Linked DNA regions of Yarrowia lipolytica. The protein of the gene in region 1 interacts with the protein of each later gene in a pairwise test. Links are inferred from orthologs where the notes say so. Each region holds a gene or a part of one and is shown on either strand. Other genes may lie near its edges.

Region 1 (7,564 bases):
GAGATTGTTCTCTGCTGGTTTCGCGGTGATGTAAGGAGGAGCGTTTTCCTGTATCGACGCGTACTCCTTGACTAGTCGTTTGTTAGCTGCTTTGGTCGCCATCGGAATGGAGTCTGTGTGATGCGCAGCTTTGGCGTGCAAATGGTTCTGATGGCGGCTTGATCAAATCTGTTTTTGCAGATTGTAGCTATTACAAGTAGTGTATGGGAGAGGTTCTGGAAGAACAACGCAGATAAAGTTCGTCGGTATCGTGATTCTACAAGTAGGTGCATTAGGGGTGCCTAGGGATATGACCTTCGTGATAGTAAATGTTTGTTTGAGTGAAGACCAAGTTAAACAACGACTGGAGTATATCTCAGAAGTAAATTCGATGACACCCCGAAGAAAACATGACTTTTGCCTCTCATTTCGGTTGCCACATATTCTGAACTACTATGGCTTCTACCCTAATCGGGAAGTGTATATAGCTTTACCGTTGAGTTGAAATCGTATTGGATAGGAGTATGTAAGCGACGTAGTGTACAAGCACTTGTACAAGTAGCAGATCACTCCAGGCATCAGAGCGCCTTTATTCTCTCATGGCACTCCTCATATCCACACCAACTCCGACTCCATGTACTTGTACTTGTACTGGTATACCTCATCGATTCAGATGGTCTATTCATTCATTAAATAAGGGTGACGTTCAGAAGACGTTCCAACGTGTACTTGTACTTGTACCCGTATCAACATATGTATCGTTTGATCCAGTCGCCAGGCCGCTGCCGATAGCCTCAAACAAATCTACTTCAGCGATTTACTGCTTGTCCTTGGCGACACCGGCGGGGAAAGAGCCCTGCGTGGTCTCCTTCTTGTCCTTGCAGTCGGGAACGGGGTCGGAGGGAACAACTCCAGAGGGAAAAGAGCCGGAAGCAGTGGGGATTTTGTCGCTCATTGGGAATGTAGTGTGGGTTTGTTTTTGGTGTTGAAGAAAGAGTATTCGCTCAGAGAGACTGGATATTTATATATTGGCGCCGTTGGGGCCTGCAGCAGCAACCGAATCATTGAACTCTGTCACCAAGGTGCGGTGTCTATGTAGATGGAAGTTTGTGGAAAAGAGAGACGCCGTTGGATGATGTCATGGAGAAAGATACGTCCGTGAAAAAACACATTTGCGAGTTACAGTGACCATAAGGGTAATCCCACCGATCAAGTAGCAAAACATTAATCATTTATTGAGGATGCTCAAGTTACTTTAATAAGTCCTGTAGACCAAAAAAATTGCCTTCGACCAGATTTGAACTGATGATCTCAGCATTACTAGTGCTGCGCCTTACCACTTGGCCACGAAGGCGAAATTTCTTTCATGTCAGAAACCAGATCCGGTTTAGTCAGTAGTTCAGCTCAGACCAGCGGCAACCTCGAGTCTGGATAAGACATGAAACGATTGATTTGATTTCTTGATCTGTTAGCCATGATTCACTACCACGAGACCACGAAAATGACATCAACTAGACGAAGCGTCGACAAACCAAACCGACAGCGCCCCCCCAGCGCCACATATGGCAAAGAATTCAGAAGTTTGTATGATTTTATTGAACGCCAATAACCCGGCTTACTAGGTATATAACTGTAATGAATCATTAGAATAAAAATATATAATTAATCTGTTACTTTCCTTTCCATTAAGAGATTAATATGTCAGAGTATCTAAAACATTTGGCTTTATCCGGTTGTAGGGCTGTTGCCTCATGGGCTTCTCTTCTACGGTCTTACCGTCGAATTTGTACCAATAATTTGACTTGAGTTTGTTACTGTAGCCCAGAAATATCCTTATTCGTCTCTCTCCACTACAGTATGTACATACTCCAGGTAGGAACACTACAAGAAGCGCCACACCACTCCCGTACCCCCCCTACCTATCAACCTCAACCAGCCTGGGGGCCGTGCCGCCTACATAGTTATATATGGAGCCTGTCTTCTCAGATACATTCTTCTAACTCTGGGTTACTAATCCAGCTTGACGGCTTGTACAAAACCATTGCCGAACTCCCAAATTTATGCGACAATCCTCCAGTATCCACCACCGCCACCAATTGTGGAACATGATAAGGTTCAGGGTTCATGCAAGGTGCAAAAAATTTGGGATTGTAGGTAAAATAAATTTCAGTCCATTGGTGCTACTCTCGCACACATACATCATACGAAAATGAAACGAAAGCATTCTGAGGTGTCTGAGAAGACGAAATCAGAAAAACCGGAATACAAGTCAAGCCTCAAGATGGAGGAGGGCGCGTTCCCCCGAGGAGGAGCTGGAGTGCTGTCTGCCATGGAGATTCGACAGACTGCCGATGAAGCTGCGAAGGACCTGTTCGAGGAATCACAGGCCGCCAAGAGCTCCAAGAAGAAGGGTGGAAGAAAGGCAAAGCAGGCTGTGACGAGCGACATTGTTGCGATCCAGTCTCTTTCTCTGGACAATATCTCTGTTGGTTCCATTATTCTCGGACGAATCGTCAATATCCAGTCCACCGCTTGTGTCGTTTCGCTGCCCAACAACCTGCATGGTTTCGTGTCTTGTGTTCAGGTCAGTGAGGCACTCAACGCCAAAATCGAGGAGGGCGAGGAGTTCGACCTTTCGGACTACGTCAAGGAGGGACAGTGGGTTCGAGCTTCTGTCGTCGATACCTCTAACAAGCGTCTGGGTCTCAGTCTGCTGCCCAAGGATGTCAACAGGGATATTGAGGACAGTGACATTGACGCAAACATGGCTCTGCAGGTTGAGGTCAAGTCGAAGGAGGATAAGGGTTACGTTGTTGCTACCGGTATCAAGGGCAAAAAGGGCTTTATCAAGGACACCGACGTTGAACTCAACAAGGGACAAATCGTGTTGGCTTGCGTGCTTCGAATCAGTGGCCGAACAATCACCCTGGACACAGAGCATACCGGTGAGGCCGTCCGGCAACTAGAGGACTTCTCCAGCGCTGTCGCTGGTACCCCAGTCACAGTCGTCACCACCGATAAGCGAAATAACGGAGCAGTGGTTTCCGTCTTCGGTTCCGTTGATGCCACCATTGATCCCTTCCAGGGATCCTTTGGCCTTGAGGAAAAGACTAGCTCTGTTGCCCGAGTTGTCGCTACTCTCGACCGTGGTGCCAGCGGCAAGCGAATGCTTCTCTCTGCTCTGCCCCACGTCGTCAACTTGGAGGATGCTGACCCCAGAATCGGTGAGGCTTTCCTTCCTGGACAAGTTCTGGGCGTCAAGGTCACTCATGTCGTTCAGCACGGTCTGTTTGTTGAGCTCGCCGAGAACATTCCTGGTTTCATTCACATCTCCAAGCTCGCTGATGAGAAGACCGATTCTACAGCCGACTACGAGGTTGGCCAGACTCTTGATGCCAGAATTATCGCTTTTGCCCCCCAGGACGAGATGTACGTTTTGTCTTGTGAGCAGTCTGTCATGGATGCCAAGTACATTGCCACCAGTGATTTGTCTGCTGGTGACAAGGTCGAAGGTACTGTAACTAGGCATCTCCCCAAGGGCGGTATTATCGTGGCACTGTCATCTTTCATCACCGCTGTTGTGCCTGCTGCTCATCTTGTTGATGCCAAGATGGCCAACCCCGAGCTCAAATTCAAGATTGGATCCAAGATAAAGGGCCGACTTCTCGGTGTGGACAGCAGCGGTTGCCGAATGACCATCAAAAAGTCTCTCTACAACTTGCCTAAGGACGATTTTATCTCCTACGCGTCTGAGATTGGCGACATTGGTTCTGGAACAGTTGTAAATGTCAAGCCTGGAGGGTGTGTCGTCGAGTTCTGGGACAACTCTCAGGCCTGGCTTCCTGCTGGAGAGGTGTCTGAGGCTTTCATCGCTGACATTACCAAGCATTGTCGAGTTGGCCAGACCGTCAAGATCCGAATTCTGGATATCAACCCTGAGAAGCAGTCTATGCAGGTCTCCTGCAAGCTCTCCAAGGTTGCCGCTGAGCATGTCTCTGGTGCCTACGAGGGCATCTCTCTTGGAGACCTTGTTACCGGTAAGATCATTGACAAACGAGGTGACTTTGTTATCGAGATGACCGTTGGTGATGTCGATCTCACTGGCGTTGTTCCTCGAAACCTGCTCCCTCCTAGTCACAAGAAGCTGCGTGTGGGAGACAAGCTGGAGTGCGTTGTCCTTGCCAAGCAGCCGTGGATGAGCTCTATGACTCTCGGTGCTCATCCTGACATCATCAAGGGATACCATAACAAGACTCTGATCAAGGAGACTCCTTCTGTTGGCCAAACTGTCACCGGTTGGGTCCAGAACGTCAACCAGCACGGTGTCTTTGTGTCTTTTGCAGGTGTTGTCGGTCTTGCTCCTCAGGCATCTCTTAGTGATGACTCTTATGACAAGTTCCAGGTTGTCAAGGGTCGAGTGACTTCTGTCAACGGCGACAAGTTTGCGGTCTCTATTGGAAAGTCTCTCAATGGTCCTGCCGTCAACCCCGTTGACCCCAGCATCTCTACCATTGCTGACTACTCTGAGGGTAAGAAGACCGAGGGTATTGTTACTGCTGTTCTCCCCTCCTTCGTCTCTGTCCGTCTTTCCGACAACCAGAACGGTCGAATCTCACTCTCTCAGCTCGAAACTCCTGTTGAGAAGGACGATAAGATCTCTGTGACCGTACTTGGTCCCTCTTCTCAGGGTGATCAGATCGAGCTGGCTACTAACGATGTTCGACTTTCTATCAATAATCTTGAGGAGGGCAAGGCTTACCCTGGTGTCGTTGTTCAGTCTACTGCGGACTCCATTTGGGTGGCTCTGTCTGCCTACATTGTCGGCCGTCTGGATCGAGCTGATGTTCAGGAGGCTGACTTCGCTGATGCTGTTGGTGACCTTGTCGAGGTTTCTGTCTGCGGTATTGAGGGTGACAAAGTCAAGCTTCGAGGAGCTCAGTCCGAGGAAAAGTCTGAGGGCTTCTCAGAAGAGGCGCTGCCCGCCTCCAACGGACTTCAGGGTGCTCAGGTGACTGCTCGAGTCAAGAAGATTGAGGTTGACTACGTTCAGTGCACTATCAACGTCAATGGCAAGTCCTCCACTGCCACAGCCTCTCTTGTGGATGCTGTCGATGATTACTCTCTCAAGCTCAGCAATGTCTACGACATTGGTGAGACTGTTCCCGCTGTCATCTGCTCTGCCAAGGAGCCCTACGCCATTTGCATTCGAAAGAACCCGGAGGGTGTCGATCCTCTCCCTTCGCTCCCCCTCAAGCGAGGTGACAAGGTCAAGGGTGTCGTCACTGGTATTGCTGCCGGTATCTTCGTTGCTATTGGCCACGGCATCGATGCTCGAGTCAAGATCACTAACTTGTCCGACTCTTTCCTCATGGACTGGAAGAAGTATTTTAAGATCGGTCAAATCGTCACTGGTCGAATCATGGGCTTCTCTGACAAGGGTCTCCCCGACATGTCTCTCAAGCAGCGTCATATGACTGGTGACAAGCTCATTGAGGGTCCCCAGGATCTCACTGTTGGCCAGAAGTACGACGGTTCTGTCCAGCGAACTACCGACTATGGTGTCTTTGTCAACATTGGAGACGCTACTGGTCTGTGTCATAGATCCGAGATTGCCGACACCCCTGTTGGTGATTGCTCAGAGCTCTTTAATTCGGGTGACAAGGTCCGAGTTATTGTTCTCAAGATTGAGGGCAGCAAGGTCTCGCTTGGAATGAAGGCTGCCTACTTCGAGGGTGATGAGGATGACAATGACGAGGAGGACAGCGATATCGAGATGGAGGTCGAAGAGGACTCCGAGGAGGATGAGGAAGACAGTGAGGATGATGAGGACGAGGACGACTCTGAGGATGAGTCTATCCCCACCATTCGATCTACCAAGCAGCAGCAGAAGAAGGCCAAGTCCACTGCCATGGATGTTGGCTTTGACTGGTCGGGAGACGTCTTCGGAAAGGAGGAGGAGCAGAATGGTTCTGATTACGATGATGAGTCTGACGAGGAAGATGATGCCCCCAAGTCTCGAAAGAAGCGAAAGACTCAGATTGCTGACATCACTGCTGATCTTTCGACTGCCACCCCTCAGTCTGTTGGTGATTACGAGCGTCTGCTTGTTGGCAACCCCAACTCCTCTGTTTTGTGGATCTCCTACATGTCTTTCGTCATGCAGCTCTCCGAGCTTGAGAAGGCTCGAGAGATTGCCCAGCGTGCTCTTAAGACCATCTCTTACCGAGATGAGGATGAGAAACTCAACGTCTGGCTCGCTCTTCTCAATTTGGAGAACACTTTTGGCACTCCCGAGTCCACCGACAAGACCTTCAAGGACGCTGCTCAGTACATGGACGCCGAGACCATCTACATGAAGATGGCTGACATTTACGCTGCTTCTGACAAGAAGGACAAGGCAGACGAGGTCTATGCCAAAGCTGTCAAGAAGTTCTCTGGCTCCATGGAGGCGTGGATCAAGTACGCCACTTTCCTGTTTGATAACGAGCAGGCTGCGAAGGGCCGAGTTCTGTTGGATCGAGCCACCAAGGCCCTGCCCAAGCGAGACCATCTCCAGTGTGCCATCAAGTTCGCCCAGCTTGAGTACAAGTCTGGAGATGCTGAACGAGGCCGAACTCTTCTGGAGGGTCTGGTGTCTGTCTACCCCAAGCGAACCGATCTGTGGTCTCAGTTTGTCGACTTTGAGATCAAGTATGGCCAGGACAAGACCAAGATCGAGGCTCTGTTTGAGCGAGTTGTTGCCTTGCCCAAGTTGTCTCTCAAGCAGGCCAAGTTCTTCTTCAAGAAGTGGTACCAGTACGAGGTTGAGTCTGACGACGACAAGGCCGCCGAGTACGTCAAGGCCAAGGCGGCGGATTACGTTACTCAGCGAACAAAGGAGGATGAGGAGGAGGATGAGGAGGAGGATGAGTAAAAGAACGGTGGATTGTTGGTTTGTGATAGTATTGGTATTAATTGATTATTAATGATAGAATTACGTTAAGACTTGTACCTGTATTGTATATAGTAGCAGTAAGCGAAGACTATTGGAACAAGTACCGGTGGTCCTGCTTGACTTGTGGGTCCGTGCCCACAATGCCTCAAAACGCCAGATGGCGTGAGCCCATTCTCGGATGAAGTTCATGAGGTCAAACTGAGCCTCAACTAGCACACTATCCTCCATTGTGGCCTGGGCCGGGTATCTGAAGACAGGAAGACGACACAGTCGGAGCATGTGGAGCTTTTCGGCCCTCCGGGCATTTATCCTGTTATGATTGCCTGGTAGCTGGTTTGCTTGTAGCCAAAGTTCATGTTTGGGGTCGCGTTCCTGATCGAGCAGGGCCATCCAAACATAGTTCTTCATGACAGTGAAATGCTTGTGCCAATTGCCCATGGCCTCACGGGGCGTTATCGGCAGAAGGAATAAGAGATTATCGATCTACACTTCGGACATCAGGGCCATGGGGGGATCCACACGTTGCTGGTAGAAGGAATTTTTTTATTATTTTTCTATGGAAATACATTTCAACTACTTGATGCCTACAAACAATGTTATACCCGAATATCGGACTCGGTTTTTTTTATTTTTTTATTTTTTTATTCTCAT
Region 2 (3,885 bases), on another chromosome or scaffold:
GACCGTCAAGGAGGCTGTGAGCACTCTTGATCTCATTAACAACTTCGTTCTTCTCGTCTCTAAGAGGTTTCAATCGTATGTCGAGCTCTCTCCTCTGGGTCGACAGCTGCTGTTTGTGTTCTTCCAGCTCTTTTTCGAGAAACCCGAGAGCAATGTTTCGTGTTGACGTGACAGGTCGAGTGGCCATTCGATTGTCTCAATGATGTATCTGTTGTATCTAGGTTGTATATGTGAGTCTGGTCGTATTGGCGGACGTTTATATATTAAATGGTGGCACGGCCTAAGTGCCTCTGCTTTATTTACAGTGTGCCTTTTGTGTCTTTATCTTACGCTTGTTCGACGGTTAGTTACGCACACATGTCGATGTATCGTAAACACGACTTCTCAAGTGACATGTATGGATGTACTGTAGTGAGGATATACGATGCAGCAACATCAATTGTGAGTCTTCATATCTGACGAGTCTTCCCTGTATCTACCATTCTAGCTGTAACACTCCACAGAACAATACAGCCATTCCCAGTACCAGTAACAAGCCATATAGCCAAAGCTGCTACAAGTAAGAGTTGGTACTCCTCTACTGTCTATCAATCAAATTCATCATATCTATTAATGTACCTTTTCCTAGTCGGTCCGTACAGCCAGTCGACTCTATTATCAGTATCCTTCGCTCGAGCTATGCTGCTGCTCTCTAATACCCGCTCAATCTTGCACTTCTAGCCATTGGCTTACTTGAAAATCACAGAGTCAGCGAGAGGGTCAGCAGCAATAACAGCATCTCTGACCTTGACCTTTCGCTTGAAGGCAGCCTCGGCTCGGCTGGCGGCCTGCTCAGCGGCCTGCTGCTTCATCTGCGATCGGACAGTGTTAGGGGACACATACTGCTTGTTCTCGAAAATTACGGGGCCTCCAAAAGAGCCCTCAAGCATGGTGATGAGAGTCATGACAAATCGGGGACCAATCTCAACCAGAGAAATGTCGGTCTCTCGGGGGTTTTCTTCGTTGACAGTCTCCTGGATCTGGTAGTTTCGGAACCAGACCTTGTTGTCCACCAGCGAAAAGGTGAAGACGTGGTCGAAGAAGGGCTTGGACTTTCTGGCACCCTTGGGGACACCAAAGGTCTGCGTCAGCATCTCCTTGATCACGGCATTGTGAGGGGTGTCGTCAAAGCTGCTGTCGAAGGACAGAATAGGTCGAGATCCTCGCAGACAGTTGCCGGTGAAGTTGAGCTCGTCCATGGTATGCAGGTTCTGGATGTGGAACTTGGCGGTGGGACCGTTGGGAGCCTTGGCCATCCACATGTACAGATCCATATGCTTTCGGGCCTCAAAGTACAGAATGTTGTTGCAGTTGTACATCTCAGCAATCTCGTTGAGTTGGTACAACTTGGACTTGGTGTCGAGCTTGGACTCCTTTCGACCATGGGGAAGCATGGTCTGGAGATCGCTGATGAGATGTCTTTGTCGGAAGGTCACTCCTCGAGAAGTGATGATCAGCACTCGCTGCTTGTTGGTCACTCCATCGTCCTTCTTCTCGGTCTTCTCGGGCTTAGAGCTCTCGCCGCTCAAGGTCTTGTATAGTGTCGACATTGTGTGTGTAGTGTGTGTGTTGTGTGTGTGATGCTATACTGATTGGGATTTTATTTTCACGATTCATGCAGAAATATTTTTTAGGGTTAAACTCAAAATCCTTGAAGTGTGTCTTGAAACTTGGTGATGAATCCTTCATTTTGGTACAAGGGTAGATTTTGAATATATGCAAGAAAAAGACTTCTATTCTTTTGTAAGCTGGTCTTTCATTGGCTATACTTCAATTATTCAACTTTAGCGCTCATTTTGCCACCTGGAGGTGTGCAATTGTGCTGAATTTGAAAGCACAGCAGTCAGCATGTATGTTAGCTACAGTTATCAAAAGAACTGAACATTTACTCTACAAGTACAAGTTCAAGTATTTGTAACTACAAATTTTGATTAAAATCATGAGATGATTCAGCAACAAGCATCCCTGGTCAATTGCACAAACGAAGCGCTCTTTTCATCCATCATACCCAATGTCTGCGCAGCGTGCTCGCTCAAATTTCAAGACTCATATCGAGTCTAGTCGGAACACCAGAGTTGGGTTGGGGACGATGTATGTCCAGGTACCCTGCTCATACAAGTACAGTATATCCTAGGTGCAAAAAAAGAAGGTATTTGTCTTATATACCGGTACTAGCACATGTGAATCTATGTTTAGTCTCAAGTATATTCATTAACATGCCCTCAATCGTTTCTGTTTACTTTCAGATACTCCTTTGGTGCCTATGGTTCCACAGAATCCACAATGATACTGTAGAAGGGGACTACGTGAAGTAGAATAAAACCAGCTTTTCTGGAAACTTGTCTGTTCTATCACCTGTTGGTCATGTCAGTTTCCGCGTTCTTCACACCCACCCCCCTAATAATACAACACAATAAAATCATTGAAACAAGAGCGATGCGACCCTCAGTCCAGCAAACCACTCTGGAAATATTGAGAAACAAAAGACCTACAGTAATACAATTGTGGCATCTATAGAATAGGAAATTTAATATGTGCAACTGTCCATTCTCTCGACCTGTACTTCTACACGATTGTCAAAAGATATTATCATAGTCTACAGTAATTTATACAGATTGAAAGAGGGTCATTCAAATATGGAAGCTGGTGGTCAAAGATCATCCCCAGTCACTCTCTTCTACCTTCTAAAAGATGGTGGAACCGTTGGCAAGACCTCCGTAGAGCCAAGTACCTTCAAACTTGCGCCCTCTCTCCAGATCTCGACGTCCAATATTGAGAGTGCATAAAGAGATCCAGTCAAAGTAGGCCAGGTGGTTCTTGACAATGTCTAACCGAGCAAGAGCGTTAAAGTCCTTTCTGTAACAGCTCATACTCTCGGGACCGGCACAAGAGAAGACCTTGTTCAGAGGAGGCTGGACAGTGAAGTAATCAATGTAGATTTCTCCCACAGAGTGGACATAGTCCTTGAAAGCGGGGAATCCTACAAACAGATCGTTCCAGTGAGTCAGTCGGAAGTAACGTCTATCAGAATCCATGCTGAGACCATCTCCTTCGCCAAACCACTGCTTGGAGACAAAATTGGCAAAGTTGGCGTTTCCAATACGAGGCTGACCATAGGTGTAAAGATAGGGATCCTGACCGTTCACCTTGAGACTTGTAGCAGAAAGTACCGCAATAGCAGCACCCAGAGAATGACCAGTAACAACCAATCGATAGTCAGGGTTGCTGTTAACGTGATCAGCCAGCTTGTCTCCAATAATGCCCATGGTCTCATTGTAAGCCTTGTTCCAGCCGTCGTGAATAGTGCATCCCTCGCAGAGGTTTGCAGTCGATCCTAGGGCAGAAGGAGTGACGAGAAAGGGGCTTTGGGACAGTTGGATGTCGGTGTAGACGTCTCCGATGTCGTAGGTTCCTCGGTAAACCACATACTTCTCTTTCTTGACATGGTCAATAGAAAGAAATCCGGTGATGGAGGTTTCGAAAAACTCACCTCCAAACACTTCGACCAGCTCCATGTTAGGAAAGTGAGAGCATGCTACTCCGCAAGAGAAGTCAGATTTCAAAGACTCCAATGGAGTATTGATACAGTAGGCAACATTGGAGAGGTGGGAGAAAGTCAGGGCAGTGTCGTAAAAGTCCTGAGAGATGGGGGCAGTGGCTGTAAGGGGAGAAGGAGCAACGGTTCCAAAAAGAACTCTGGAGAACCATTCTCCAATGACTGTAGATAGAACCATTGTAGTTGTAGGTGAGTTGAGTTGTAAGGACCACTTACATCGATGTATTTATACTTGACAGTGCGGGTCGGAGGAAGTTCGGTTCGGGCCAGGTCTGCCAAGTTGACTGTTA
Region 3 (5,493 bases), on another chromosome or scaffold:
CCGCAGCTCAACAGGCAGCTCGGCTCCATGCTGGCTCTTGTACTTTTCAGCCAGATATTTCATGGTGTACCTCCAACACCCCACAGTTCCATGGCTCAGACCAACCATCAACAAATGATCTTCGGGCTCGTTAGCTCCGTTGTAGTCGGCGAAAATGTCGCTGGAGATCTGCGACAGGATGCTCTTCTGTCGCTTCTTCAAATCGACAATGCCAGTAACTAGACCCGTGGACTTGTATATCAAACAGTACTGCGAATGCTTCTCGTCCTGGTACACTCTGTGGAACTTGTCTGGGGGTCTGTTTCTGTCGGACGTGATCCTGTGAGTGACTCTGGTGACCGAACACCGGTATCGTCCGTCCATATCGACATTGTAGACATTTCCATCGTAAAGAACCATGCCGGCAGGAGGCTGTCGCCGTTGAGCGTGTAGCATCTCTGAACACCGTGTAGGAGTGATCAAGTACAGGACTGAGGTATGATCGTGTCTTCCAAATACATAGACACAGTCTCCGATCACCTGCAGCCGCAAGGGAGGCTTGCAGTTCATTTTGATCGACTCAGGAGCCTTGTTGGGGTACTTGACCGTCAACATCAAATGGCCCTGATGCACAGATATTGCTGCAATGGCCCGGGACGTGTGTCTGGCCTGAATCATCCGTCCCTCGACCGTCACCCCAAACCCGTGGTATTTGATGGTTGTTCCTGCATCTCCAAAGCTCACCCCGTAGTTGCAAGGCACAGCAAAGTCCGTGTTCAGATCGCTGAGGTCCAGCTGCTTCTCGTTGAAGCAAATGCCCCGGTTGTTGTAGTCCCACGAAAATGTGCGTTCCACGTCGGTACACAGGCACTCAAAGTCGCGCGGCAGAGGCGAGTCAGTGTGGAAGGAGCATTCCACAAGGTCAATGAACACGTCAATGTGTCTGTCGCGCACGTAATGGGCGCCGCCGGTCCTCCAGCTCCCGTGCTGGCTGTATTCAAGGCGGTAGTAGGGGCACTGCTGCATCAGCTTGTCCCGCACCAGCGACTCGGAGATGGACTGGCGGTAGTGGCGGTTGGTCTTTCGCAGCGCAACAATGTCTGCCAGCTCGAGATAACTGCAGATTCGTTCAATCAGCTCGGGCAACATTGGGTGTTGTTATGGACGGCTTCTCCACCTCCCCCCCAACGGTAAATCTTGCTCATGTTACCCTGGGGGTTTTTTTTTTTTTATCTCTTAGTGCCATTTCCGAACCACTTGCGGACTAGGCGGAAGAAAGGGCAACCGAAAAGAGACTGATAGCCCTCAGTTATCGGCCTCCCTGCAGGACCATTTGTGGACAGGTGTCCCCTGTTGCATAATCGGCCAAATATATACGAGCATGGGGGAAAAAAGAGGTGGGTCGTCTGTTGATAGGCTGGACATAGATTCGTGTAGAGAGTCGAAGATACGACACTATCGACGGCTAGAGGAGCTCGTAAACAGAGCCCTACAACTAGTTGGGTGGTGTAGAGAACAGCTAAGGCCACACCATGGACCGTTTAGGAGCAGTCTAGAACCACCGATACCGAAGCTAGTGGAACAGGCTAAGTTTCACGGCGATTATCGACGCTTGTGGAGCCACTCGACGCTAGTTCTAGACTTGTTGCCATGTGGATAAAGCGATCCATAGTCGTTTTAGCGCTGTTTTATCTGGCGAGTGCTTTCGTCAAGTGTAACCGGGCAATGTTGAAGTTGCAATGGTGAAGTTGCAATGTGGAAGTTGGAGAATGTCAGTCTGAGGTGTGAGAGACTCCGCAGTCTCGAAGGGTAGGAGCACTAGGACTGTGCAAATAAATAAATGAATAAATAAATGGAATAAATAAATGAATAAAAAATAAAAAATAAAAAAAATAAAAAATAAAAAAAAATAAAAAAAAAAAAATAATACAGAAAAAAAATATTAAAAACAAAAAAAATCTTTTTAGAACAAAAAAAAAAAAAAAAAAAAAAAAAAAAAGCGGAAAGAACAGCGTTAAAAAATACTGTCTTGAAAAAGAAAAAAAAAAGACTTTTTAGGAAAAAAATTAGCAAAAAAACAGTGTTAAAATACCGTTCAGTTACTTGACAACCCCTCCAACTACCAAGTTACTTGAAATCTACCGCTCAGTAGCCACCAATATGTGACTACCAAAACACCACTGAAATTAAACACCAAAATAAACACCTCAAACACAAAACAGTCACTAGAATCGAACTCACATCTCCGAACCACCCTGGGTACAGTACTATCATCACCACTAACCCTAACCCGCACATGCATACTGCAAGTCTAAAAGATATTTTTTTTCGAGAGGTTGAAACAGACATCTACGAAATTTCAGAAACGGTCCAACATGGTTCTTAAAACTGGAACCGAGTCGGGTAAAAACCACCGAGTGAGTATGGGCGACATGGAGGGCACATGAGCTGTTGGACCGCCTCTAGAGCGATTGTGAGAGGAGTGGAGCGCCATTCCATGTGGATCTGCAAACAGTAGCCGAAGACGGATCTGGGTGGCAATTTGGAGATCGATTCGAGCTACAAGTATCGTAGACGGTTTTCATGGGTCTGTACGAGCATACTGATGTCACTAGCTGTGCTTACTGGGCGATCGCCACCGCCAGGATCATAGCTCCAGGAGATACGTTAGACCTACCGGATCAGCTGTTGGGCTGAGACATTCAATTCCATACTAATGCAGTTCAAATCGTTCCGAGAACGTCTTGATGCCATCAAGATCGATCCGCTGAAACGGCAGAAGAAAAAGCTGTCGCGGGACACGGACACGTCGCATTTCATTGCATGTTACACGACCCATGTTGAGCTGAACTTGTCCACCAGCTTCACTCGTTTTATGGAAAAATGTGGAAAGTACGCCGTGTCGCTGCCCATGGTGCTGTTCCACAAGGAGGAGATTTTCGATGGTTTGGAGGAGTGTCTGGAGGATGGAAATGAACACAGTGTGGAGGCCCTGCTAGAGTGAGTATGAGAAATGGAGGATGGAGAGGAAGTCCCCGATACAGAACTAACCCAGTCTACTCACCAACTTTGTCCGCGACCTGGGCGAGGAGTTCGAGCCATACTTCCCCCGAACTCTCGCACTTCTCATCAATCTCACCTACCACTTCAATCTCGAGGTGGTCGAGCACACTTTCAACGCAATGGTGTACATTTTCAAGTACCTGGCTCGTCTATTGACTAGCAACCTGGTGCCCCTGTACGACAGCGTCAGTGTACTTTTGTCCCGAGGAGATGAAGATGTGCAGATGATTGAGAACGGAGAAGAAGACGAGGAGGAGATCCCGGAGGAAGACTCTGACGACGAGGAGGATGACAAGCCCAAGCCTAAGAAAATCAGACCGTTTGTGCGAAGATTTGCCTCGGAAACACTGGCCTTTCTGATCCGAAAGTGCTCCCAAGACGGTCTGGACGTGATCGTGCCGCACGTGATGAGCACGCTGGAGGGCTCGTCACGAGATTACGTCTCTGCCGTCTCCGCCATGTTTGCTGCGTCTATCAAACACACCAAGGGAGCTCTTCATTCAAAGACGGACTTGATTCTTCAAGTGTTATTTGCATGTGCGGCTTGTGACGACAACACAATCACCGAGGCCGACCGAGTACACGTGACCATGATTTCAGAGACTTTGGCCGTTGTGCTGGAGCATATTGAGGACCCTGTCATGGGCCAGGCCGTGTTTGATACCTTTTACCAGTATGCCCAAGGCAACGGTAACTACGATACTGTGACCTATCTGACTACTATAACCGCCATCCGAAAGGGTTCCCGAGTTCCTGATTGGGCTCGAGTCTTCCAGGAGGCCAAGGCTTTCTGCTCCACTCTCTCCGACAAGGCCATTGTCGAGTTCGCGCTCCTGGTGGTCTCGCTCATCCAGAACGGCGCCCAGAGCAATGTGCTGGCCAACCATACGTCCTTGCTCACCACTCTGTCGTCCAAATCACGTGAGCAATACTTTGTGGCGTTCCAAATTCTTGCCAAGGTCCAGAGTCAACGGTTCACCGATATCTGTGTCAAGTACATTCCTCAGTTGATCAGCATGTTCTCTGATGATCTTTCGCAGATTGCACTCTTTGTCGACAGTCTGGAGAAGATCAAGTGTCTGGATGCCTGCAAGGTTCTGAAGAAGGAGATTGTAGCGTTTGGCAAGAAGAACATGTCCACTGAAACAGTCTTCAACCTCTATTGGCGAATCAGAATGTTCACCAAACTTTCTAATGTCGATATGAAGAAGGAGATGACCGAGTTTGCCATTGAGCTACTCCCCAAGCTCTCCGCTGACGACGTGTATACTGGAGCTCTTTACGGAGTCACTCTGAGTCTGATTGGGTCATTGGGAGACGATAAGCAGCTGGTGGAACGAGCCCTGGGCCGCCTGGAACACTTTTCACAAATCGAAGGCTACATTACCGGTCTGCTGGCCATTTGTGACTCTTCAACCAAGCTGGATGACTCGTCACTGGTGCTGCTGACCCAGAACCTGACCTCCGCAAACACCCACGTGCGGGACGTGACGCTGAGCCTCATTTCGAAGCTGTCACGTGGCCAGAACGCGCTCGTCAATGAGTGCAAGGTCATTTCATCCATTCCGTTTGATTATACCACGTTGCGGTCTCTTGTTCAGCGAATCGAGAAGCTCGGAGAAACCTTCTCCCTGTCTGGGTCAGATACGATTGCTGATTCAGCAGTGCCTCATTTCCTGTTTGGACTTCTTACTGTTCATTTTACGCCAGCTCACGAGGCTGCCATCAAGGCCCTCAAGAATGTTGCCGAACGATTTCCGGAGCTGGTGTGGAAGTTGTCCTACAACGTTTTGCAGGCACGTGACCTGGTCAAGGTTGATGACGACTGGGTGCCCGAGCCACGTCATGTTCTGGACAGCCCCTTCACCGACTCCATGTCTCCCGACTATAACTTGAATGGTTTGTTTGAGACGTACAATGAGCTTGTTTCTCGCGATAGCAACGGAGCTCTGTTTGAGGACTTTTCCGAGTCGGCTTTCCCTGCTGAGGAGCCCTTTTACCTGCGAAACAATGTGCTGAAGGTGCTCAAGGCTGTTCCTCGGGTGTCTGAGAACCATGTGATGGAGCTGGTTCCCTATCTTCTTTGGACTGAGGGTGTTTCTCGAGATAAGCAGGCTGTTGAGTCTTCCGAGTATGGACTTGCCGACTCGTGGACCCTCAAGGACAAGATTGTGTTGCTGGACATTTTTGCTCTGTTTCACAACACCAAGAACTGTCCTCGAGCCGAGGAAATTTATCAGAGATACCTGCTGCTTCTGACCAACAAAATGAACTCTGTTCAGAAGGCAGCTCTTCAGTGCATCCTATCCTGGAAGAACAAGGTGGTTCGCAAGTACAAGGACAATCTGTTCAACTTGCTGGAGGACTCGCAATTCAAGGACGAGATGCTGAGCTTCCTCAAGCCCTCAAAGGACCGAGTTTTGCATGAAGACGACGAGCATGTCATCTTCC
Region 4 (5,852 bases), on another chromosome or scaffold:
ACGGGCTTCTCGACGAACGGCTTCGTCATGGTCTTGCCATCCACCATGACGGTATCCTCGTCAACCATGTGACATTCGGACTTGGGCTGGGGAGTCAGGATGACATTGTGTTCGGCCAGCTTCTTGGCCAGGTCAGGGTCGGCCTTTGCGCCTCCGTCTCGGGTGCAAATGAGACGAGGAGGGGTTTGAACATTGGCCGAGTCGAGCAGGTCAAGCACGATACGTCGGTCCCACAGCACTTTTTGCAGAATGAGGTCATTGACGAGGAAGGGTTTTCGTAGCTTGACGTAGGAAATGGCCTTTTCGAGGGGAAAACCGGATGAGAAGAAGGAAATGAGAAAGTCACACGTGGGCCAGTTCTCAATGGGCTCGTCCAAAATCACCTTGTCTCCAAAGACAACGGTTTCAAATTCGCCCGTGTCCAGCAGCCTGTTGAGAATGTGCCGACATGGCTTGGATCGGGCCTTGACGTCCATCGCACAGACACCAATTTTGCCAATCTTGGGAAGGTTGGACAGGTCGGGGGTACCAGAGGCAGCTCTGATGCTAGAGAAGGAAGAGGACCGTCGGGCTCGGCCCTCAACAGCAGCCTTTATTGACGACGTGGAGATGGACGAGTCCGAGGGCTCGTACGAGGATGCGGGGGCCGAGGCCGACACGGTCGGAGACGGTTCTGAACATTTTTCCACGGGGGGGGGTGTGGTGGGTGGTGTGAAGATGTGTGAGAGGTAGACCCGATGTCGACGAGATCAGCTTTAGGGTTCAGACTAATGCTGCGCTCGACAATTGGGAATATCGAAGCAATGATTCTGGGGTGGAGTTTGGATGACAAGGAGAGGGGGTAGAAAGATGAAAAAAAAAGAAATCGATTTCAAAGGAAGTTTTACAGCGATTGACCTTTTAAGATCCGACATCGGTCTCTGGTAAAACAACTTTTAATACTCCCGTTTGTGCTGTTCGCTGCTTATGGTTTTGGCTAACACCAGATGCATAGGCAGCGTGGTGCAGCGAGCCATTCTACTGGACTGGAGCTACAAGCAGCTGATTGGGAAATGTTCTCTGGCTGTTTTTGGAGTGGTAAAATTGATTAGACCACTTGTAGTTATTCTTTTGTTTTATGAGTGAGTGACGTATACTCTTGGCAAGCCACCCCCATCTGAGTTCTTCCGGTTATCTACTGTACGATACCGTCTCCACAGCTCGATCGTCTATGCAGCAGCTTCGCCTTGTTTGGTGGGTTGATATAGCATAGCACAGAAGACCTTAAGCCGATATATACTGGGTGATATCGACAGATTGAGATATAGAATGACCAATTCTCAGTCTGTCTCCAATTCAATAAACTCCCACCTACTATAATACCCCACAATAGTGGCTTTACAGTCCCCTCAATCTACTCCATTGTATCTATCCACGTGCTCGCTATTGTGGAGCCAAAGTTTCGTTGCCGCTCACATGCAAAGAAGACAGACGTATCGTGAGCGCAAGGCCAAATGTTACAGTGGTGTAGAAGGAGGGCTCTATATAGACAGTGTCGGCATCTCAAGTTGCTGGGTCGCACACATCCCGTTGTTATTAATCGTTTCCACCAGTCGTTCCAATTTGGATCTTCCGATATAGTTTTGCACGTCTTACTTAGAAGTAATTGTTACGAGCACACTTGTAGTGAGACAGAGCACTGTAAGTACCATACAGTATGATATACAGTATGTACTTATTTGTACTTTGAGTGCTCTATGTGCTACTTGTAGAATATATATATTATATAATATATATATATATATATATTATATATATAAAGCCTTTCGGATGTTTCAGAGTCGAGTGTCCACTACTGATGCTAACAATGCTACAGAGCTGCACAAAGAGGAGCATTATTTTATTTTATTTTATTTTATTGTATTTTATAAACACCACCACAAGTAGTACTTATTTTTATAGTACGTACGTACATTTTTCATAGACAGTCCTTCAAGTACCAACTAAAAATCCAACAAAAATTTCCCTTCACTTGAAACCGAACTCTATCGCCCAACTTGAAAATATAAACAGAACCAGTTATTTCCACTATCACTAAAAAAGAACACGAAGAATACTCTCGGTATACTTCTACTATCATTTCTGCATCTCATCCTAACTTCTTACATATCCTCATATACTGTACAGATTATGACCCATCCAAATAAACTTCTGGCATGCACGACCCAAATATTTTTTTCCAAGCTGCATCACACAAATCATAGCGTTCCGACACCCGCTCTAAAACGATGCCTGCGATTGAAAAAAAGCGAAGAGTGGAGTCTGACGAGGTCACTGTGCGTGACAGACTTGTCGGAACCCCCTCTAAGATCTTCACGCCTTTCAGAGTGAGTACTACACCCCCATCACTACACCCAACATCACCAAACTAACACAGACTATTGGACATGTTGCCAACTCCACACCTATTTCCGTGTCATCTTTCGGCCGAAACTTCCTGGTTGCATGCAGTGTGGGCCGAGCCGTTCAGATCTACGATGTTTCGACGCTCCATCTCATGTTTGTAACCTCTCCTCAGACCCCCGCGCCCATCCAGTCGCTTCATTTCCACCGACCCTACGTTTATGCCACCTGGGACAACTGTATTGGCGTCTACTTCCGTGGTAAGCTACTGTACAAGCTGGAGTGCGACACCAAGGACAAGCTAGTGTGTGTGCGATCTTTCGGAGAGAACCTGGTGGCCATCAACAGCTCACAGATCTTTGTCTTCAAGCGAGGCCAGAAGAAGGAGGAGCAGTCTGACGACGAGGACGAGGAGGAAGATAGAGACGAGCTGGACCCTCCGTTTGAGTATTACACCACCGTGACTCTCGCCAACTCTGTGGGAGCTGCGCACTCCATCATCCATCCCCCCACCTACCTCAACAAGATTGTGGTGGCAACTCGACGGTCTCTATTGCTGGTGAATATTCGAACAGGCAAAGTTGTTTTCTCCACCAACGAGATTGGATCTGACGACGAGATCACCGCCATTGTTGACGCTCCCGTTGTGAACTACATTGGAGTGGGAACTGCATCCGGAAAGGTGCACGTCTACAACCTCAAGCTGGGTGAGCGACTCATGGCCTTTCACACCGGCTCGCGGGTCAACTGCTTGTCGTTCCGGTCGGACTCCTTTGCCCATCTGGGTGTCGGAACCGCCTCCGGAGATGCTTTCTTCTTTGACCTCAATTCCCAGAAACGTCTCCACGTGCTGAGAGAGACTCACGAGGAGAGTGAGGGAGGAATCACATCGCTGGTCTTCCTGCCCGGAATGCCAGCTTTCCTCACATGCGGTGGAGATAACTCTCTGCGAGAATGGGTGTTTGATCCAGTCATGTCGGAGTCCAACAAAACAGTCATTGCACCTCCGCGAGCCCTCAGACACCGAGCTGGTCACAGTGCGCCCCCCACATCGATCAAGTTTGTTGACGAAGAGGCCCATTTTCTGGTCTCAGCCTCCGGAGACGCGTCCATGTGGCGCTTCTCGCTCCGAAAGGATGCTCAGAACCAGGAATTCTCACAGGTGTCCAAGCTCACGGAGGAGCAGAAGAACAACCCTTTCGCCAGCAAAACTCGAGCTGCCGGACCCTCTAAAAAGATGCGTGTCAAACTTCCTCCTGTCACTTCTCTAGCCCAGACTTCGCTTAGACAGCAGGAATGGGACTCGATTCTGACAACTCACAAGGGCGAGAACTGGGCACAGACTTGGGACGGACACCGAGGACGAGTTGGAGCTCACAGATTGCCCACTTCAGATGGTGGCATCGCACAGACTGTGACTGTGACTCAGTGTGGTAACTTTGGTGTGGTTGGATCTGCTACTGGATCCGTTGACATTTTTAACCTGCAGTCAGGCATCCTGCGACGCAAGCTACAGGGTACCCCCAAGAAGAAGGCCATCACAGGCATCGTGGTTGATTCGCTGAACCGAGAAGTCATCACGACTTCTCTGGACCGAAAGGTGCGATTCAACGACTTCCACACTGGTAAGCTGCTCGAGACTGTGACCCTCGCTGCTCCTATCACCAAGCTGGTTCTGCATGACTCGTCAGATCTCATTGCTTGTGCTCTGGACGACTTCTCCGTCGTGGTCATCGACACCATCACCAAGCGAGTGGTTCGAGTTCTGGAGGGCCGACACGCCAACCAAATCACCGACATTTGTTTTTCTCCCGATGCAAAGTGGGTTATTTCAGCATCTCTCGACTCGACCATCTGCACCTGGGATCTGCTGACTGGAGCCTGTATCGATGTTATTCGACTCGACACTGTAGCTACAAACGTCGAGATGAGCAGAAACGGCGACTGGCTAGCCACAGCTCACGTGACCGGAAACGGTGTGTGTTTGTGGTCCAACCGGGGCCAGTTTGTAGACATTTCGTCTGCTCCTGCTCCCGAGATTGAGTCTTCTGAGGTTGCCCAGATTGATGCCGTCGGCTCTCTGGCTCAATCCTCGGTTGTGGATGGTGCCTTTGAGGAGACCGAGACAGAGGATCAGAGTCTGGCTGCTTCGATTGCCCAGATCGAGGAGTCTCTGCTGACCCTGTCTCTTGCTCCCTCCTCCAAGATGAACACTCTTGTGCATTTGGACACCATCAAGATGCGAAACAAGCCCAAGGAGGCCCCCAAGGCTCCTGAGCAGGCTCCTTTCTTCCTACAGCTTACCGGTGCCGACAAGAAGCCCGAGGAGGCTACTTCATGCCCCGATGGACTTGTCCCCTCTAATTTCGATGCTATTGGAGAATCTGCATTTTCTCGTCTTCTCCGAGAGGCTGCTCAGTCCGGCGAGTACCATGAGTTCATTGACCATCTGGCGGGTATGTCTCCTGCCCAGACCGATCTCGAGATCCGATCTCTCAACTCCTGGGCTCCATACACCGAGCTGATTGCGTTTGTGGACGCCATGGCAGCTGTTCTAGAGAAGCGAACCAACTACGAGTTGGGCCAGGCATGGATGAACATGTTCTTGCGCTGCCATGGAGACGTTATCATGTCTGCTCTCAACCCTAAGATTGTTGAGGACGAAGAGGAGGACGAGGTTCAGCAGCAGCCCTGTGAGCCTCTGAAGGGGTCGTTGACCAGATGGAAGGAGCTCAACCAGCACGAGTCCAACAGAATGGAGGATATTGTCAAGTACTGCCAGGGAGTCATCAACTATCTGCGAGTTGGATACTAAGCAGAACCCATAAGGGCTGTTTGGGTGGAAAATGTTAGAATAATGCATGTTTTTGGATACTGGAGTAGAGATATGATGAGAAGGTGTCACAGTACACCATACAGTAGGTATAGCAAAGGTAACAGTAATGATAGACATTGTTACTTCCAAGTTCAAGCGTAGTTATCCTTCATCTACAAGGTAGTATGATACCGCGCTTGTAGTTACTGTAGACCACGTTTACAACAAGCACTCGAATTACGTGACCAAAGCAGCCAATACACAGTTCAGTTGATAATACGTCTTGTAGTATAATGTACCTTTGTAGGCAGAAGTTCATGGTATCCTGACTGAACTTGTACTACTTGTAGAGTGTATACTTGTACAGCACTATAATATTACGTCATGCGCCACACAGCCACTGTGAAATATGCAGCAAAGGAACCACAAGCATTGTATGAGAAGACACCAGTACTTATAGTGATGACAGGTGAAGGGTACGATGCGGCACAGAGAATAGCAGAATGAACCAAATAGCTTATATTAGGGTCATTATTAATCACTGTCTTTTCCCCCTATCGAGAACGTTTCGAGAGCCGTCTCAACTATGTCGTCCTCCAGTTTCCCCTTCTATGATCGTCTCCACACTCTCCACATGTAGTCTAATATTTCGACA

The links.
Region 2: the proteins of YALI1_E35580g (region 1) and YALI1_B15692g interact in binary tests that used the Saccharomyces cerevisiae proteins (3 or more experiments, as listed by UniProt). The link is inferred for Yarrowia lipolytica from reciprocal best matches to the Saccharomyces cerevisiae genes RRP5 and BRX1.
Region 3: the proteins of YALI1_E35580g (region 1) and YALI1_D28518g interact in binary tests that used the Saccharomyces cerevisiae proteins (3 or more experiments, as listed by UniProt). The link is inferred for Yarrowia lipolytica from reciprocal best matches to the Saccharomyces cerevisiae genes RRP5 and UTP20.
Region 4: the proteins of YALI1_E35580g (region 1) and YALI1_B17908g interact in binary tests that used the Saccharomyces cerevisiae proteins (3 or more experiments, as listed by UniProt). The link is inferred for Yarrowia lipolytica from reciprocal best matches to the Saccharomyces cerevisiae genes RRP5 and UTP21.

What each region holds. Positions count from the first base shown.
Region 1 is NC_090774.1:3,555,790-3,563,353, forward strand, and holds YALI1_E35580g (uncharacterized protein), read left to right. Parts: upstream 1-2,188; coding exon 2,189-6,892; downstream 6,893-7,564. Other genes in the region: YALI1_E35559g (uncharacterized protein), read right to left, coding at 1-102.
Region 2 is NC_090771.1:1,566,961-1,570,845, reverse strand, and holds YALI1_B15692g (ribosome biogenesis protein BRX1), read right to left. Parts: upstream 1,590-3,885; coding exon 729-1,589; downstream 1-728. Other genes in the region: YALI1_B15706g (uncharacterized protein), read right to left, coding at 1-187; YALI1_B15703g (uncharacterized protein), read left to right, coding at 364-445, 488-720; YALI1_B15670g (uncharacterized protein), read right to left, coding at 2,724-3,773. UniProt on the Saccharomyces cerevisiae protein: Required for biogenesis of the 60S ribosomal subunit.
Region 3 is NC_090773.1:2,849,283-2,854,775, reverse strand, and holds the start of YALI1_D28518g (uncharacterized protein), read left to right. Parts: upstream 1-2,354; coding exon 2,355-2,396; intron 2,397-2,701; coding exon 2,702-2,979; intron 2,980-3,034; coding exon 3,035-5,493. Other genes in the region: YALI1_D28537g (uncharacterized protein), read right to left, coding at 1-1,128. UniProt on the Saccharomyces cerevisiae protein: Involved in nucleolar processing of pre-18S ribosomal RNA and ribosome assembly.
Region 4 is NC_090771.1:1,787,378-1,793,229, reverse strand, and holds YALI1_B17908g (uncharacterized protein), read left to right. Parts: upstream 1-2,267; coding exon 2,268-2,366; intron 2,367-2,416; coding exon 2,417-5,197; downstream 5,198-5,852. Other genes in the region: YALI1_B17927g (uncharacterized protein), read right to left, coding at 1-476. UniProt on the Saccharomyces cerevisiae protein: Involved in nucleolar processing of pre-18S ribosomal RNA and ribosome assembly.